Pelodiscus sinensis: one gene and its partner. Each later gene encodes a partner of the first gene's protein in a complex. Links are inferred from orthologs where the notes say so. Each region holds a gene or a part of one and is shown on either strand. Other genes may lie near its edges.

The links. Proteins that work in one complex are often made in the same cells at the same time.
Region 2: the proteins of INHBA (region 1) and FST are in contact, whole or in part, in a crystal structure (PDB 2P6A), measured with the Homo sapiens proteins. The link is inferred for Pelodiscus sinensis from reciprocal best matches to the Homo sapiens genes INHBA and FST. Residues at the interface, in NP_002183.1 of Homo sapiens: Asp315, Phe327, Asp337, Trp338, Ile340, Ala341, Gly344, Tyr345, His346, Gly360, Thr361, Gly363, Phe368, Thr371, Arg397, Ser400, Leu402, Tyr404, Asp405, Asp406, Gly407, Gln408, Asn409, Ile410, Ile411, Lys412; in NP_037541.1 of Homo sapiens: Trp33, Arg35, Val44, Leu45, Arg60, Phe76, Met79, Asp135, Glu152, Pro154, Glu155, Val180, Val181, Asp182, Gln183, Tyr188, Val190, Arg221, Thr224, Cys225, Arg229, Ser230, Ile231, Gly232, Leu233, Glu328.

What each region holds. Positions count from the first base shown.
Region 1 is NC_134712.1:165,915,777-165,925,637, forward strand, and holds the start of INHBA (inhibin beta A chain), read left to right. Parts: upstream 1-5,731; 5' UTR 5,732-6,070; coding exon 6,071-6,458; intron 6,459-9,861. UniProt on the Homo sapiens protein: Inhibins/activins are involved in regulating a number of diverse functions such as hypothalamic and pituitary hormone secretion, gonadal hormone secretion, germ cell development and maturation, erythroid differentiation, insulin secretion, nerve cell survival, embryonic axial development or bone growth, depending on their subunit composition.
Region 2 is NC_134716.1:98,251,409-98,261,534, reverse strand, and holds the start of FST (follistatin), read left to right. Parts: upstream 1-5,954; 5' UTR 5,955-6,346; coding exon 6,347-6,428; intron 6,429-8,144; coding exon 8,145-8,336; intron 8,337-8,740; coding exon 8,741-8,959; intron 8,960-9,313; coding exon 9,314-9,538; intron 9,539-10,126. UniProt on the Homo sapiens protein: Multifunctional regulatory protein whose primary function is to antagonize members of the transforming growth factor beta (TGF-beta) superfamily including activin, myostatin, GDF11 or bone morphogenetic proteins (BMPs).

The DNA of each region.
Region 1 (9,861 bases):
CATTTGTACCATTTCATTTCAATCTGATAGCATCTTCTGGGTCACCTGCTTTATGCATTTGTATCTTTTGGCTTTTAATTTAGAGAGGAAAACAGCAATGTATGTCTTCATGAACGTGAACATTAAATATTTCTTTTAAAAGCATAGCTCATTGTTTGGTGAATTATGAGGAAAGAAATCAATTCATAGCATGAATGAAAGGTGTAAGATACAGTTCAAGAAACAAAGTGAACATATTTGCTTTTCTTGTTCTAGTGACAGACACCATTCAAACAGCACATGGTTAACTTAGTCCTTGAGAAGATATGTGTAAACAACCATTATAAAATGAAGGGGAGAACATGAAAGCCATTCTTTACTTCACCCTCTGAACTTGGACCTTTATCCTGAGATGAACTTTAATTTTTGACCAGCTCACTAATTATGATTGAAAACACTGGTCCTTCTAAATCAGCACATAAGCCTTTGACTTAGCAGCAGCAGCAGCAGTAGCAGCAGCAAAACTGGCCCTAATTGGTCAATTTACCAAAAAAAAAAAACATTTTAATAAAAGTTCCTGGCACATCTTTTTTCACAATTACAGTAAAATAAGGTACAACAGAGTGACATTCCAGCTGATTCGCACAGCAACCTGTGCCAATGCATTTTCTAGTGACTGCTCTTCAAAGCAAGTTTTGAGACATGCAAATACTCCTGTGTGCAATCCAGGGTTCTAAAATAGTCACTAAATCATACAACCTCCACTAGGTGAATAAGCGAAATGGCAGCGGGCCACATTGCTAGTGGCCGGTAGGACTAAAATCGACAATGGAAAAAGGAGGTGGGTTATTGGTATATTAACATTTCTCTCTCTCATTCTCTTTCTCTCTGTTTTGATTCACTAGGGAAATGGAACATGCCTGCAAGCCAACGTGTAGGTCCAGCCTCATTCTGCTTTTTATGTGGTTTCAATCACCGGCACCAGAGCTTGAGTCAGAAATCCCAATGGCACTAAATGAACAATCCTTTTTTGGATTCTTGAGCTGCCAAACTAAAAGGAAAAGAAAAAAAATCAAGAACTGCTCTGAGAAGCAGTTGTCCTTTCTAGTGGGAAGAGGTAAAAATAGAGGCAGCTCATGAATATGACTTGGCAGTGCTTAATGGCAGCCAGCTTGAAGGGTCAGATCAGTGGGTCTTTCTGGAACTGCTCTCGGAACACTGCCAGCAGGTGTTGCTGTAGGTACAGTAAAAGACAACAATGAAATGAACTGAGTTGGAGGGGGTGGAGAGAAAAACAGAAAGGAAGGAACATAAAAAAATGGTCATCAAATGGAGCATTCATAAGTCTTTTGGTAAAGCTGTACACCAGTTCTCAAAGGAAACTATGAACAGGCCCTGAAATGAAATATGCTGTCTTCAGTCTGCTGCGAGAAATCATTGTCATATGTCATATGTATGTTAGTGTGATTTACTTGGTATCAGTCTTGCTCATTGTATACCTCACTGGAACATAGTGTCATACCTTGTGCTGCTGTTCACTATAGGGCAGGAGCTTGGTGGGCAGAGGGCAGGGGGATGTCTGCTGTATTGTACTTGGATCAGAAATTTATAAGGAGGTGAACGTTAAAAATGTCATCATGTTGATCTTGAGAAGATAAACCTATTACACTCCTGGCTAGCTTTTCCTCTATCCATAAAGTCAATGCTGTGTGAGGTCTTGCTGAGAGCATGTGTGCTGCCAAATTTACAGTCACTGCACTACTGATACCAGTCTTGTAATGAAATTATGTGGTCCTTCAAGTATCTCTCTCACTATCTGTAAAGTGGAAAGTGCTATGATTCTGAATGCCTCAAAATGCAAAGAACCTTCTGAAACCTGTTTCAAGAGACGGGAACCTATAATCAGAAACTTGTGGCAGTCTGAAAATCTTATTTTAAACATATTCCTGCAAACAAACCAATCTATCTGGTCATATGGTTCCCATTAAGTCCTAATTTTGCTCATTTTACTAAACTTATCATGTGAACATGTCTCATTCTTCAACCATTCTCCATTCAGACTGGAATCTATTCTGCATGAGTACTCCCTTATACAAATATGAGTTTAATATTTCTACTCGTTTTCCTAATCAACTTAGTCGTATTCCCCGCCCCCCGCCCCAAAAAAATTTGCTTATACCAATGGTACAAATGAAAGCATATAAATACAATTAGAAGAAATATCCTGAATAATGGAGATTATTTTCTTGAACTCAATGGGTGTTTTGATGAGAAAGAACTGCAGAATCAGGCCCGATTATCATGATCTACATCACAAAATAACTAGCAACAATGTCTGTGAGAAAGAAAGAAAGAAAGAAAGAAAGAAAGAAAGAAAGAAAGAAAGAAAGAAAGAAAGAAAGAAAGAAAGAAAGAAAGAAAGAAAGAAAGAAAGAAAGAAAGAAAGAAAGAAAGAAAGAAAGACCCTTATACATTTTTTACTTTTGTATTACTCAATAGACCTCAATACAGTTACTCTTGATTTTCACTAGTGTAAGTGAGAGCAAATCTCAATACAATTACTCTTGATTTTCACTAGTGTAAGTGAGATCAAATTCTGGCCAATTTTTCTGTGTGCGCCAAGTCAAACATTACTTAGAAGACAGACAACTATGTGTTGTTAACTATAAAAAAATTAGATGTGTTATTTTAAAAGTATGTGATGTGATATCAATATGCAAGAAATAACAAGAACTGGATATGAGAAACATGTTTAAAACAAATAGAATTATACACAGCTTTAAAAGCATCCCTAAGTTAATAAAGAAGCAAAATTTTGCTAGTAAAGAATTATACCACAACAATTATTAATTTTCCTGACTTTTTTTAAAACTTGCAAGTAGTATCTCAATGTTTTCTCACTATCAAAGCAGGATAGGACAATTCTCTTTTTAGTAATTAAATGGCTGACAAATCTTGTGGTTGAACTGACAAAAGCTTAGCTGTGTATATTTATGTAATAAAAAGTTGAAATTTGCCTCTGACTCAGCATGTTTACTTTAAGTCTGATTTTTTTCAAGTTGTACACTTTAAATGGAAAGATACAGGTTTAAAACTGATATTTGAATCCATGACACTTTGTGTCATACTAGACAAACAGGAGTTCCCATCAGCTAATTACCACAAGCATGTCTCACACAGGAAAACAGTCAATTGATGAGGTCATTTGGATAAACCAATCCAACACAGTATTTCAGCCCACCTAATTTTGATCTAATATTCCACAATATTCCAGCTCCTTTAAATATGTGTGAGTATGCACACAAGAACTACAGTATACAGCTTCACATTATTCCACAAAGAGGAATTTGAGCCGTTCTTAATGCATAGTCTGCTAGAAAGAGAGAGGACAGAGAGGTAAAAACTTTAAAATCTATGCTTTTTTCTATTCTTTCGTAAATTAAGACATTTTATCTGCATGTTATCATGAATACATTTAATGCAGTTTATTTAATTTTGAATATTAATATGAATTATATTCTCTCTAGATATCAGATTAATATGGATTTAAAAACAAATATATTTAAGTGTGCACAGTTCAGGATATATGCATAAATGTACATATTGGATTCAAAAGTTTGTTAATATAGAGTGCTGTTTAAATTTTAAATCAATAAACACCAAGGTATGTTAGTACTATATAATGTATATATAGTACATATATATAATATATGTGGTTAAACAACCCTATACAACATACTGGATGGGAAACTAATTACATAGACCTATACCTCTATAGCGATATACACCTTTATTATAAATTCTATGTCAGAGATTATTGTGATGGATGCCACATAAGAATGTATATGGATATATTAATACCTCTTATGTATATACATACCTCGCTACTTTACCTGTCAGTACCTGTAACTCTAAATGTATATTGTCATCTCAAATTATATTTTCAGTCAATTAAACTTTTCATCCTTTTTCAGACTCACTTTCCAACTTACTGTAATTACAACAGATTTTGGGCTGTTCATGAGACCCAAGATATTTATATATAGCAGGGGTTTTGTTACAAAGATGTGTTTATAAGAATGGCTGCAGGGTTTAGAAAAGAAAGCTGACAGGCCCTTAGTATAACAGTATAGCAACTGAGGTGGGTAGATTAGGTTGTACTGTAGATGCTTTTTAACAGAGAAATACTCTTATAAAAGAGCCCCATTGAAAAAAAACAATTGCACTATGTAACATTTGCAAAAAGTCTTGTTGATTGTTCAAATACTTCTGTATATTTAAGTTATTTTCACTTCATTATTTCCTGCCCTTCCTCTCAGATCTTGCGTATGTAGTTATTTTACAGGAATTACAGATCTCACAATGCTTATATTTGTCACTTACTTTTTCCCATTAAAATGTATTTTATGATAATGTATGGAACTCTTTTAGTTGTAAGATATAAGAAACACATTTTGTGTGTGTGATTAAAAAAAAGAATGCACATTGAAAAAAACCAAAAGTGAACTTAAAGATACCTCTAAACGGCAGTTAGAAAGAATCTTGAAAGTTTGGGGTGATAAATCCAGTTTTCTAATTTTTCATTATAACATCAAAACATAAGGAAATTTACTCACTTAAGTGTTTCTTAGCTTGCCAAGGTGAGTAGAATGGAAGATTATAAAACACGTCAGGGCAACATGAGGTGCTGTAACTGACAAAGATAATGATTTTTTAATATGGGGCCAGATCTACAGCTGGTATTAATTGGCATATGGTTACTAGCAGAAGATCTGTCTGGCTTTTAATAGTATTTTAGATTTACTCTTCCTATGTAATCACTTCTTCTGATGTCATGATTGTACTAAGTGGTTTAAGTGAGGGAAATAAAAGAAAACTTCTTTCTAAAAACAATGGGCCAAATCTAGAAGACTTTACTCAGACAAAATTTTTATTGGTATCAGTGAAGGGTTTTGCCTACTTAAGGACTGAGTAAAAACTGAATCAGGGCTTTAGGATTTGGCCAGGATTTCACCTTCAAGAACTTTTCAATCATTACTTGATTAAACTCCAAACCTAAATATATCTGTTTGAGAAGTTCTGGTTGAACACTGGGGTAGAATTAGGGATATATTCGGATGGGAAGGCAGTACCTTAATATGACACACATATGTGGTGTTCTGTCTGTCGCCTGTTTGTATGTTTCTATGTTTTGCTGCAATGTGCAGCTAGAAAAAGTGTAAAGTACTATACAGCTCCCTTCCCTTCCCAAAAGCAAGCAAAACATGTTGCGTTTTGCTCTCTTCAGATCTCTTGCTAGTGTTGATAACTTTAAGCATTAAAATGGAAAAGTAGCATCTTTTCTATTTTTCATTCAGGGCAGGACAATGTTAAACCTCCAATATTCCCTGTCTTCATTCCCTCCCTCACACACTATTTAACATGTGGTCCTATCCTTTTAATATTGGACAGGAGCACAACAAGGTGCTTATCAAAAAGGGTTAACTCTTTTCTTTCATTCACTCTTCTCCTGTTCCATTTGTGATTATTTTGAAAAAAAAAAAAAGATGGGGTACATAAAGGAAATTCAAACAAATATTAAGAGAGAGAAAGAGTAAAGTGAAAAGAAGTGAAAGAGATTTTTTTTAAAAAAGGGGGGGTGAGGGAGGGCAGAAAATATGACTGGTGATATTTGAAGAGAGGTGTGGGTTAGGGAGCAATGAGCATAAGGAAGGCAGCCTGGCTGTTCCTCCCCCTTTCCTAATCATAGCCCTTACTCACAGACAAAACTCCCTCCCTCTCTCATTCACTCACTCACTTTAGGCCAATCCGTCCTCTTTCTCTCTGTGTGTCTCTCTCCTACTCTGAGACAGAGTCAGAACTCTTCTCCCTGACAGCCACAAACATCTACAGCACTTACTGCATTCAGAGAGGGAACCTGCAAACAAAACTTCACAGAAAACTTTCTATTCTTGTTCCAGAGAATTTGCTGAAGAGGAGAGAGGAAAAAAAGAAACCATACAAACAAACAAACAACAAAAAACCTGTGTGTGAAGAGAAAGGAAAAGCAGGGCCTTTTTAAAAGGGAATCACAACAACTTTTGCTGCCAGGATGCCTTTGCTTTTGAAGAGAGAATTTTTGTTGGCGCTTTGCTGGATTATAGTGAAGAGTTCTCCAACCCCAGGATCTGAGGGGCACAGTTCAGTCACCGACTGCCCATCATGTGCCCTTGCCACACTCTCAAAGGATGTGCCAAGCTCACAGCCTGAGATGGTGGAAGCAGTAAAGAAGCACATCCTGAACATGTTGCACTTGAGGGACAGACCTAACATCACCCAGCCGGTGCCCAAGGCAGCACTTTTAAATGCCATAAAAAAACTCCATGTAGGAAAGGTGGGAGAGGACGGCTATGTGGAAATAGAGGATGACATTGGAAGAAGAGCAGAAATGAATGAACTTGTAGAGCAAACTTCAGAAATCATCACATTTGCAGAATCAGGTGAGTGCTAGAAAAAAAATATCTTAAAATATCTTTCTATGCCAGAATTGCAGTTAACTTGTTTCTTCTACCCAACAATAATATTCTCTGTAAGATTATAGGGTGAAGGGAGGAGGGTGAGGGGAAAAGGGTTGTCACAGAATTTGATTTCCCCTGATTTAGTCTTGGATACAGCTTACATGCTTCCACTTGCTAAACTCAGACAGCCAAACAGTAAGGAAGCTATCTAACCAATCTGGAGCAGAAAGTCGGGCTGTAAAGGAACCTTCCAAACTGTGCTTGTGAAACCAGAGCATTTGCACTGATATACTGGACTCTAGGTCTGATGATGAAAGGGAAAGAGCTGCAACCTCTTAGAAAGTTTCTGACAAAAGAAAAGGATTTAAATTTTTAAAAAGTAAAGCTTCCTAGTTAAAAAAAACAACAACAACCATTAGGTAAAACATCACTTGGAGCATATTTAACTTAATACAAGCAAGAGGGTATTTTTGCTGTTTAATTAGCACAGCATCCTAGGCAATAAAGCATTTCAGTGACTGTCAGAGAAACTTCAATAGAACCAGGACAAATAGTTGTAGATGATCCAATTTCTAATGCTGACTTTTGCACACTGGAAAAAAAAAAGGAAATATTCTGTTTCTAAGTGCTCCCTGCCAAAGAATGCAACCTTGACAGTGTTCACTTTGAACTATTCTGATCTCTCCAATTTGTATAATTTGAGTGTATAGAATTTGCAAAACTAATTGCTCAAAAAACCTCGGCATGTGCCTGTAGAAAGCAGCTGTGACATTCTCCCCTAAATGAGCAGAACCGGAACCCATATAATAGAATAGATGTATATGCATATACATAAAATCATCTATATCTTGCTACAGCTGTCTCACCAATCTGGAAAGGTATGAAATTGCTAATAGCAACTCTTTTTATCATTCAGTCTAGCCAAAGAATTTTTCTTGTTGCCAAGACAGTTTTAAAAGAATGTCACTGTTTTGTTTGGTACAGCATATGGTAGGCAAAGTATGCACAGGAACTCCAAGCATTTTTGTTTAAAAGCAGTATAAACAATTAAGACAACACTCAGAGTTTCCAGTCCTGAAAACCTGTTGACTCAGATGTTCTGTTTGCAGGAAAGCCATGCACAGAAGTGTGCATGCTTTTAAGAGCAGACATTCCTGCCGGCTGTATGGCTTCCAACTGCATAAGAAGCCCTTGCGTTTGGCGTCCTTGTCAATGCAGCCGTTATCAATTGTTTCACTGGGAAGAGTGCTGCTTCTCTGCCCTCATATGCTCTCCATTTCAAACACTGGGTAGAAGATCTCAATGCAAGTGAACAATGGAAGCTTTGGTTTTCTACCTGTTTAAGGAATGGACAGAAGCAAAGACTAATGGGCACCCTCCCCAACTGGTTTTCAGCACCTCTCTCTCTAAGCAGAATGGAACACATATGGAAGGAACAGTGGTTTCTGTTCCTCCTGTGCATCCCAATCATTTGTAAACTCACGATTGTCTTTCCTGAGCTCTGACACAAAGGAATTCTGAATCTGATATATGCCTATTAAACACGACAGCCTTGAATTGCAACTCCTAATCCAATTGGCTCAGAGTCACATGACCAAAAGTAACTGTGCCATTGCCCACAAATTGGCCAATAGTCCAGCTGCCAATCTCCGTAATAAAAACTACTGAATGCCCACAGCAGTTTGATTTACATCTACATAGTGATCAATATTAACAGCAACATTATTTTAATAAGATTTGTGGTATCTAGTTCTTTAATAGAATGCAGGGTGTAGAATTTTATTCTCTTGTATTTTTTGTTGTATTAAGACTCTCCATTTTCTTGGAGCCATGGCATGTATCTTCTAAGAGATGTTTGGGGCCTTTTTTCCATACTGGCGGGACTTTAGTTGGTAGGAGAGTAAGGGATGTGCTGAATAAAAGTCGTGTACATGAGTCTAAGTTTATAATGGAAAAATTGACTTCCACTAGGGAATGATATTTGTAGGATGGAGTCATTGCTGCTAGTCAGTTCTTTAACCTGCTGAACAAATAATTTTCCTCTATAAATTCAAGATCCATTAATAATACTTTACAGTTCAATAACACTTTCAATCCAGGGAGCTCACAGTGTTATATAAACACTAATGATTTAATTAAACTTGACATCAACTCACTGACACATATTTACTTGCAAAGAGGGAGGTTAAAGCCTAAAACAGTATTATTTTCCATATGCATATGTGGAAACTGAGGCAAAAAAGAATTCAAGCAACTTCTCTCAGGTATGTGGAAGAGCCTGGAATAGAACACAGATTCATGGGCAATTCCCAAAGCCTATAATATTCTCACTACTCTTACCAGAAACTACCATAATCTAAAAAAGAAGCTATTGAGAGTCAGTGAAAATGAATGGAAATTTGACACAAGTTATCTCAGCTTTTGAAAATAGGAGTAAGAATTTAGATTTTTGTTTGTGTGGGTATGACTACACATAATCCTATCAGACATCACCCTCTCAGGACTTGTGGTTATTCTATATTCAAAGGCAAAAAAAGAGATATTGTGAAATAGTCTTCAGCTATTGCACATAAATATACAATGAAAATGAAGTCTGCACACGTACTACTTTGTGCTTCTAGTCTGTTTTTCAAACCTTCTATTCTGGCTGATGTTTTATAAAATAGAGAAACTAAAATGCAAATAGTACAGGACACAGTTAAATGGCAAGGGGTGGGGGTGGGAATGGGGAAGGAGTAAATCTATTGAACTCATAAAGCACAGGTGTCCTCATATCCTTGAGATCAGCAGAATTTTTGGCAGGTACTTTTCACTGCACATCTTTGTAAAATGAGTGACCAAGAGTACTGGGCAAAAGTTTACAAAAGAACCCTACTGTATACTGACATTCTAACAAGTAAAACAAGAACATGATTTTCTACTTGCATATCAAGTATTACAGTTACTAAGTGGGATTAGTACTGCTGGAGCATCCTTTTGCCAAAACTTTGTGGTTTACTTCCAGGTCTTAAAAGTTGTGTTAGAGAAGAGAGAGAGAGAGAGAGAGAGAGAGAGAGAAAGAGAAAGAGAGAGAGAAGGTGTGTCTAGACTACAGGGTTTTTTCGACAAAAGTTGGCTTTTATCAACAAAACTATACCTGCGTCTACACTACCGCTGCGTTCTGTCGACAGTAAGTTTTGTCGACAGCAGTAAACTTCATTTTACGAGGAATAACATCTTTTTTCGAAAGTACTCTTTTGAAAAAAGGCGGTATTGCATGGAAACTGTGCTTTTTTGAAAGAGAGCGTCTACACTCTCTTTCGAAAAAGCGGCTTGCTTTGTCGACGATACTGATCACAGGCTAGATGCAGTATCTGTCAACAAAGCCTCTGTCGAAAAAGGCGTG
Region 2 (10,126 bases), on another chromosome or scaffold:
AGAGTGACCTCGGGGGCAACCACACCACCAAGAGAGTGGCCAGCACGAGACCAGGTAAGTGCCCTCCCCCCCCCCCCCCCCCCCCCGGCAACTTGGCTGCAGCACCAGAGCAGGGGAAAAGGGAACCCCACTGGCCAGCAGCCTCACGACCCCCCAGAGGAACCACAATCTCCACCTAGCATTGCAAGGCCACCAAGTTCACTGCCCTCCAGCCAGCTGTTTGGCCTCCCATTCTACCTCCCAGGCCGGCTATTTCAAAATAGCTTATTTTGAAACTTTACACATCCACACAGTGCCAAATTTCAAAATATCACGCTATTTTGAGCCATCCTTTAACCCTCATGCAACAAGGTTTACCGGGATGGCAAAACTGCACCCATTATTTTGAAAAATATTTTGAAATAATGGGCAGCTTGTGTGGACATGGAGTAGCTATTTTGGGATACCTCTGGGCTGTGTCTAGACTGACCAGTTTTTTGGGAAAATCAGCCACTTTTCTGGAAAAACTTGCCAACTGTCTACACTGGCTGCTTGAATTTCTGCAAAAGCACTGACTTCCTACTGTAAGAAATCAGTGCTTTTTGTGGAAATACTATGCTGCTCCTGTTTGGGCAAAAGTCCCTTTTGCGCAAAAGGGCCAGTGTAGACAGCTGAGATTTGTTTTGCGCAAAAAAGCCCCGATCGTGAAAATGGCGATCGGGGCTTTTTTTGCGGAAAAGCGTCCATGCCAGTCTATACGCTCTTTTCCGAAAATGCTTTTAATGGGAAACTTTTCCATTAAAAGCATTTCCAGAAAATCATGCCAGTCTAGACGTAGCCCTGGTGTCCTGAAATAGCTGTGCTGGGTAGATATACCCTTAAGCTGTGTCTAGACTGGCAAGTTTTTCCGCAAAATCATATGCTTTTGCGGAAAAAATTTCTAGCTGTCTACACTGGCCGCTTGAATTTCCAGAAAAGCACTGACGATCTCATGTAAGATCGTCAGTGCTTTTCCGGAAATACTATGCTGCTCCCATTTAGGCAAAAGTCTTTTTCCGAAAAACTTTTGCGCAAAAGGGCCAGTGTGGACAGCACAGTACTGTTTTCCACAAAAAAGCCCCGATCGTGAAAAAGTGCTTTTGCGGAAAAGCATCCTGCCAATCTAGACGTGCTTTTCCGAAAATGCTTTTAACGGAAAAGTTTTCCGTTAAACGCATTTTTGGAAAATCATGCCAGTGTAGACGTAGCCTTAGTGTTTAATATCTTACATCCATAAACTTTTTTCTCTCAGCTTTAGGAAAAAATAAATTGTCAATATCCTTGTCCTCGTCTAGTTAGAAATATAATTAAATTTCATATCAGTAGCATACAAGTATAAATTCTGTACACAAATTCTCACTCATTAAAGAAACAAATGAATTCTATCTTAAAGTACATCCAGTACTTGCAGAAAGTAATATTAGAACTTTGTTAAGACAATGTGAAGCTAAGCATTGTCTATTTTAACATGAAAATGGCCTGACCATACAAGACATTCTAAAAATGCACCCTTTCAATATATCTCTTTATGTATATTTTTCTGAGAAGCAGTTTGTGAAATTCTATAGCAAGTGTAAACTGTCCAGAGGTGAATCTCTCTACACTGAGAAAAATAAATTGCTGTCTAGTGTATAGTATAATGATGCTTAGAAAATTATTTACATATATATTTTTCAGAGAAAAGAACCTATTAACTAAAAGGTCAATTTTCAAAAGTAATTTTCAGAAAAAACAGCTAGGGGTTGAAAACTGACTGACTTTGTTTCCTGAGAGGAGGAGAAGTCAATCATCTCAGCACAGATACCATCTGATTTTGTGGCAGACCAAAATCAACTAGCCTAGAAATGTCCATCTGCAAAACAGAGTGAACTTGAATCCTTTTCCATCCCTCCCTTGAATTCTGGATAAAGATGTGGCAGGAAATGCTCCCACACGTGTCCACTCACAAACCAAACTCCTCCCCAAAACTTTTACTTTTACTGATTGAGGCCCCAGACTACCACCAACATCCCAAAAAAGATCTGTCACCCAAAATATTTGCTTCTGCTAGAAGAAAGGGTCGAGAGGTGACCTCTTCCCATTAGGGCTACATCTAGACTGCAAGCCTCTTTCAAAAAAGCTTTTTTCAAAAGATATTTTCGAAAAAGAGCGTCTAGACTACAACCAGTACTTTCAAAAAAGCAAGCCGCTTTTTTGAAAGAGAGCACCCAAGCAATCTGGATGCTCTCTTTCGAAAAAGCACAGTTTACATTACATAAAGCCTTTTTTCAAAAGATCACTTTCGAAAAAAGGAGTTATTCCTCATAAAACGAGGTTTTCCACGGTCAAAAAAACTGCCACGTTCCTTTGATTTACTTTCAAAAGAATGCAGCAGCAGTCCAGACGCAGGGGAAGTTTTTCAAAAAAAGGCCACTTTAAAAAAAACAAACAAACATGTAGTCTAGACACACCATAGGGTTATGTCTACACTAGCCCCCTAGTTCGAACTACGGTGGGTAATGTAGGCATTCGAACTTGCAAATGAAGCCCGGGATTTAAATATCCTGGGCTTCATTTGCATGTTCCCGGGTGAGCGCCATTTTTAAATCCCCTTAGTTCTAACTGACTGCCAGGGCTTCATTTGCAAGTTCGGATGCCTACATTAGCCACCCTAGTTCAAACTAGGGGGCTAGTGTAGACGTACCCTAGGAGATAAAGTCTGCTTCTTTATTAGGAAACTGGCCCTTGGCAGAAAGCATGAGAAAACTCCAAGACATTAATAAAATGAATACTTAGTGTCCACAACAATAAATGACAAAAAAATAGTTTGTTTAATAGTACATTTCACACAAAGTAAATCTGAAGAACTATTTTGTTCCTCAAGCAGTATTTTACTGCTACTGCTTCAGAGCCAGGCCAGTCAATATTTACATAATATTTGTGATATATAGATAGACAGATTTTGTTATAGCCACACATCTATTGTATACATCAGAGATATACCCAAGCTGCAAGAGTGTATGTGAATCTAAATCTGAATCTGAACTTTGCTGAAGCTTTATATCTTTGTATCTAGCATTTTAACTTAATTATATTTTTATTTGTATTTGGAGACTGGGGCCAGCTGCAAAATTTAGACCTAAATCCAAAATCACATATTAAAATTGATAAACATCTTGCAAAAAGATAGTTTTTAAAACTGACAGTGTCAGAACAACAGTCTTTTATGTCCTGCCTGACAATTCAGTTATAGAGTGGTATATGTTGCCAGTTCTGTAATTTATATTTACTTGTTGGCAAAACAAAGAAGTGGGGAGAAATGGTAAATAGAGGCAAACAGATACATGAAAAAAGTTTTTTGATTAAACAATGCATCTCTGACCTTTATCTGTATACAGACCCAATATTTAACATTTAAAAAAGACAATACAATTAAAGAAACAGCAGCTGTTTCTATGTGATGTCAGAAAACAGGTGGGATGCAAGTTTCCATGCCAGTGCAATCATATTGATCTCCTGATGATGCACATATGAAGCACATATGCAACCATTGTTGACCTATCATGCGACTCATTTCCAGGAATATGGCCAGATAATGCCCCAATATAATAAACAAACACTGTCTAGAATCAGTATAAACATTTTATCTGACAGATCAATAAAAATCCAAGGTGAAGCTGAAATAAAACCAACATGTGTCTGTATCACAAAACAAATACTGAGATCCCTATTCACAAGGGCAGCAGAAGCAGCAGCAATTTGTTGTTTCCCACACTGCCCTGCCAATGACCCCAACCCTGACCTGAAGGGGCCACCCTCACTTTGGTGAGAGGCAGTTCACTCTTGGGTCTGCCTGCGGGGGAGGACAAAATGCTTACTTATGTGAGTGGGGGTGATTTTATAATGTGGACTACTGGGTCCACTGGGAAGAAACTCAGATCCAAAGGTGCTGGAACAATTGTTTTAGTGGAGGTGCTTAGAACCATTGAACCAAACTGTAAATCCTGTATATAATTGAAACCACTTGAAGACAGGAGATCCTGCAGCACCTCCTGCATCCCTACTTCCAGCATCCTATGCTGAGACTCGCACCCCCAAATTCATGTTATGGATCTGAGGGACACTAGTGAAAGGTTTGTAGTACTCACCTCATCCCTACGGACATATACCTGAGAGAGAATCCTTGTGTCTTTATGAATGGTAGGAATGGGGAGTGGATATACACCCCACAAAACGTTCCAGGCCTATGACTCACCACATTTCCTGAAAGTTTTGTAACATTTCCTAACTAAGCAGAGGTGATATAAGGTTAATGTTGTACCTGGATTTTACACTGCTGTTTAACAAAACTGATGGGCCTGGGGAAGAGAGCATGTCTGAAGTTATCCACCTATTTTTGTTCCTTGGGCCTTGTTGAGGAGCACTGAGAGAAACTATGCTTTGCAAAGCATGTTACACCATAAGTATCAAAGCCAACCCCCTTTTAAAAGCAGCCTTTATCCAGGAGCTCATGAGTAAGGGATATTTGTTGTTAATTGTTAATGTCATCTGCCATTAGAGGGCACTAAACAACCCTGCATTAATGCTGGTTGAGAGAGAGAGAGAGAGAAAGAGAAAGAGGGGGCACCTATTTGAGGAACGCTTTAAAAGGGATGTGTAGTCCCAAAAAAGCTTCTGAAGTTATCAGAATGCCCCAAAGCTGCTCAGGGATGATCACAATAATAGTAACACAAATTGTAGCGAGGTCAGTTATTTACCAGTCTGCTTCTTAATGCGTGTGACTGCAGGTGGTGCAACGGGACATTGTGATTCATGCTCACTTTGAAAGCAGGACCAGGGCCCGGTCTGAGGCACCCAAACAACTGTCTTCTAATATTAGCACGGCTGTATTTCTGGATCTATTATAGTCTGTCCAGACAGATCCCATTGTAATGGGATCTTTTATTAAAAGATTAGCACTATCTCCTGCAGTTGGTGGAAAAAAATCTGTTATCACTGAGTTATTTGCAGTTGTGATGGGGGAGTAAGGAGAAAAGCTTGCAGAATAAAGAGGGGGGGAGTTACGGAGACTAGGATGGGGTGGGGAGGAATCGGTAGAACTTTCACATAAATCCCATTGACCTGGCAATGTCCAAGAATTTTGTCTGCATATTTTGCTGTCTGTTGTGCTTTGGTGGCTCTGAGCAGCAGCGAAAGAATCGAAATTAAAAAGCCAGCTTTTGAATAAACAATACCATTTTCCGTTAAGTAATCATTTTGTATAAAAGGAAATATCGCCTACTCAGTTTCATTCAGCGATGCCAAAAAATGTTATAAATGAGAGACCGCCAACTTTCTAAGGGGAGAATAATGCCAGACTGTGCTTAATAAAGTAGTGCTCTAGAAGTTCATTATCGATGTTGCAACCTTTTTGATTCTGAAAGGAGACCGCCTACGTCGCCCCCCTAATTCCGGTCTATACTGCAGGCGCTCCCAGTGAAAAGATTGTCACTTGCGCAAAACCATAGGTATTAAACTTTTGTTTGGTTTTGACCAGTCACAGGGAGGGAGGAGTGTGCGCGCCAAACACTTAACTACTGTTTGAGGTGTTGGGGTAAATTTATTATTAGTCACAGACAGGGAATGGGAATCACACACACACACCCCAACAGCAACAAAAATCGTGTCTTCCAAGAGACGTCATCAACTTTTGCTGCGCCCCAAAACTTCTAACAAGAAGCAAAAACATTTCCGCGCGCTGATCAGATTGTGTTTGTTTTCAAGTTCCTTTTGGCCACGATGTGGGGGCTAAAGGAAAGGATCACGCCTCTCCTTCCCCACAGAAGTGACATGGCTCTTGCTTTAGTCCTATGAATTGTGTTAAAGCCCCTAGTTCCTCTGCGTGCGCGCGTGCGCGCCTTCTGGTATTAATGACACAAGTGGATAGTTCTTTTCTCTCTCTCTCTCTCTCTAAGCTCTAGTTACCATTCTGTTTTTGCACTCCTTCCTGTTACTACGCAAAGAACTCCAGCGTTTCCCTCTTGCAGATTTGATGTGTATGTGTGTGAGAGAGAGAGAGAGAGAATGCACCTAAAACAGATAATTGGAAAGGGTTTCCAGAAGGTGGAAAATGTCACCTGATTCACAGCGAACTTTTTAAATCTCCCCACCCCCGAACACACACACATTAGGAGACCGCCCACCGCAGACAGCTAAGACCCCCTTATAGATTTAAAGAGAGACTGCATTGAGAGGCTGACGTTCATTCAATAGAGCGATCATAAGCAGACTGACTAGTGCTCTCTGTCTCTCTCTTTCTCTGCTCCACTTGATATTGTTTCTGCCTCTTTCACTCACGGGCATACTGAGGATGTTAAATCAGAGAATCCACCCGGGCGTGCTTTTATTCCTGATGCTTGTGTGCCACTTCATGGAAGATCATACCGTACAGGGTAAGATGAGATTATTTGTTTGCAGTTGTGTTTTATTTTCTGTCTTTTTCTCAATGTTTAGTTGTCTCCTGCGAACGCCTCTCTACAAGGGACCAGCTTAAGGAATAGAACCTCAACTTAACTGTGAGAGTAGGACCGCTTTGTACAAATGTATGGAGGTGACATATTTGATCGGCTCCACAAACGGCTGGGCATAGTACTGAGGAGGGATGGTGATGATGATTGTTATTTATTATTATTGTAAAGCATGAATGAACAGCAGCCACACACAGGAACTTTCTTACTCCAGCAGTCTTAAAGTTTTTGTGGCAATGGAGCTTAGATTTTCCTCTCGGCTGCTTTGGCTGCAAGGATGGTGAATTCCGCGATCACAAATGACATTTTCAGACGCTAATATTAGTCATTTTCCCGCTATCCTTTCAATATTCGTGTGACAGCCTCCCGGCCGCCCGTTCACATCCACGTTTGTGAGTGAATTGTGTTGAGCTATGAATTCTGCTGCACTAGCGAATGTGTTTAAATACATGTCCCAGCCGAGCAAAACAAACAGAAAATGTAATAGTTGTCTTTCCCAAATAATTATTGGGGGAGGAAGGTTCTTGATGCCGCTCCGTTAACAACCTGCATAACTTAGATTGTTGTTTTTTACTGAAGGTTGTTGGGTTTGGGGTTTTTTTTTCGCTGAGCTGGATGTATAGGTTAACTTTGTGAAGGCAACTAAAAGGAATTCAAAGCTGACTTCTAACAGTCTTTTGAGCCAGGAAAACTGATTTTCAAAAGGGTGTTGTTTATTCACTAATTACCTTTGGGGACGCTTCCCTCTACAGTCTCCCCATGTATATCGGTCTGAGGGACCGATCCTACATTCCTCTCCGGGAAAATTCCCAATGGAGTAAAGAGACAGGATCTAGCCCCTGCTGGATAAGTACCAGAATCAATTGCTTTTGAGTTGCTGGAGAAGTCACATTGGTTATTCACGAGAGGCTCATCCCAACCAAAACCCTCCAACTAAAAAAGGGGGAGTTGCTTGGACTAATGTTCTTGGCTTGAATCCATAAATAGCAGAGATACTAGTAAAACAAATCTCTATCCGATGTAAGTGCAGTGTTACTCTCTATGAAACTGCGTCTGAAACAGACGACATCTATAACTTTTTATCTAGTGGCCTCCTATTTCTGTGCCCCGGCATCTTGTTTACTTTGATCGCCCTTCTTTGGATCTCAGTTAATTTTCTTCAGCAAAGAAGAGACATTTCCTAAGGGAAGCAGCAACATTTCGAGATTTCGAAAGACTTCGCCAACAGGCAAATATTACCAATTTTTGCAGATTGTTAAAACGGCCTCGAATGAGACTCCGGGCAGCACTAGAACAGTGTTGTACAGCATTTTTGAAGAGGAAGAAGGGGGGAGGTGTCTGCAAGGGTGTTTTATTTTTATTCTTTTTTAAATACAGATCCTTTTCATACCTCTGTCACGTGCATGCAAGTCCCCATGGTCTACATATGGAATAAATACCTCCGAACACTGCCTTGTCCTGTTTCGATCGGGTTATTTAAACTGCGCTGCCTATTGCCCCAGAGTAGCTGCAGGTTATGAAATGGGACAAATAAAAGTAAACAGTCTAGTAAAAGTCAATGCAAGCCGCACGTGTTGTGTCTGGGTCACTGGTAACTGACATTGATATGGCTGGGTCTCGTTCTCCTTCTCGCTCTTGCAGCTGGGAATTGTTGGCTCCGGCAGGCAAAGAACGGCCGCTGCCAAGTCCTCTATAAGACTGATCTGAGCAAGGAGGAGTGCTGCAAAACGGGCAGGCTCACCACTTCATGGACTGAAGAAGACGTCAACGACAACACGCTTTTTAAGTGGATGATTTTTAACGGGGGCGCCCCAAACTGTATCCCATGCAAAGGTGTGTTTGCAAAGTGCTCCGAAACCGCAGGTGCAGGCACTGGGGTGGTGGGGGTGGCCGGGACAGAGTCAGCAGAGGTAGCAGTGTTTCCCTGTGTCGTGCTCCAATTACGATTTTAAAGTTCATCCCAGGAAGTAAATGCTCCTTGGGACCTGGAGTTAGTGAGAAGGGGAAGGGATGTAGCCTCTGCGTGGTCAAATATGATCCAGAATGATCCTTCTATTTGGTGGATCTCTCAGGACCCCACATTTTGTTTTCTGGCTGAAAAAAAAACAAACCTTGTTCGCTCCCTTTGTATCGTGGGATTGTCGGGGTATTTTGTAAACACTGTTTATCTGAAGTCTGATGAGCAGAGTAGGTATTAAAATGTTGCCTCTTTCGCCTCCTCCCCTTCCCCCTTTTAGAAACGTGTGAGAACGTGGACTGCGGACCTGGAAAGAAATGTAAAATGAACAAGAAGAACAAACCTCGGTGTGTTTGTGCTCCGGACTGCTCTAATGTCACTTGGAAAGGTCCTGTGTGTGGCTTAGATGGGAAAACCTACAGGAACGAGTGTGCTCTCCTCAAAGCCAGATGTAAAGAGCAACCCGAACTTGAAGTCCAATATCAGGGCAAATGCAAAAGTAGGTTTGCAAATCTAACCAAGTCCTCCCCGAATAATACAGGGTGTGTGTCTGAGTGTAGGGAGGAGGAGCTGACGTACTTCCCCACAATAACAAGATGTTTCAAATGCTGAGGGACAAAAAGTAAACCACGCTCAACCGACAAACCATAGCTGATTGAGAGTCCCCCAGAGTCATGCCGCGCTGTGTTCACACCAGCTTCCCTGAGATATGAAGGTTTTATCCCGTGGCTCTTTTTTTTATGAAAGAAGCTGCCGAAGACTTTGATTTTATCATTTCCTCGATTGTTTCACATATTCACTCCCAGTATGAACCATTGGATCGCCTGTTAATATGTTTCCGTCTTTATTTCAGAGACTTGTCGGGATGTTTTATGTCCAGGCAGTTCCACGTGTGTGGTTGATCAAACTAATAATGCCTACTGTGTGACCTGTAATCGGATTTGCCCGGAGCCTACTTCCCCGGAACAGTATCTCTGTGGGAATGATGGAATAACGTATGCTAGTGCTTGCCACCTGAGAAAGGCAACCTGCCTACTAGGCAGATCTATTGGATTAGCCTACGAGGGAAAATGTATCAGTAGGTATCAGCCTTTGGAGTGCTTATAGGGGAAGAGGGAATCGTTCTTCATAATTTGTTGTTTCACAGTTTAGTAGGCAGGTATCTGCATGCAGGTTATTTCCTAGAAGTGAATGTGTTGTGGACTCCTGCAGTTTTTACACAAACAAATGGGGGAAGTTTGCTTGAGTGACCCACACAAGATTTTGGGCACCAACAGGGAACAAAGGGTTCAATCCTTGATATCAATGTGAGTTTCCATACTATTTTTAATAGGAGCTGTAGTAAGGCCCTCAAATGTATTATGACTTGACAACATATCATAATAGATAAAAAATAGTCTTGCCATGAATGAAAGGACAGGATGAGATGACCAATCCTATGATTCTATGAACAGAGTAACACAGTCTCAACATTCAGATGATCTGGATTCTTGGAAACATTTGTCTTCAAGTGGTCTTGGCAAACGTTATTTAATGTCAGTCAGATGTAGTGATTAAGGAGAGGTGTTGTGGATTAAGATAAGAACATAATCTCAAACCACCCTGGTATTTTATACAAGGTCTAATTCTTAATAATATCATCACAATACGTGTGTGTTTTTATTAT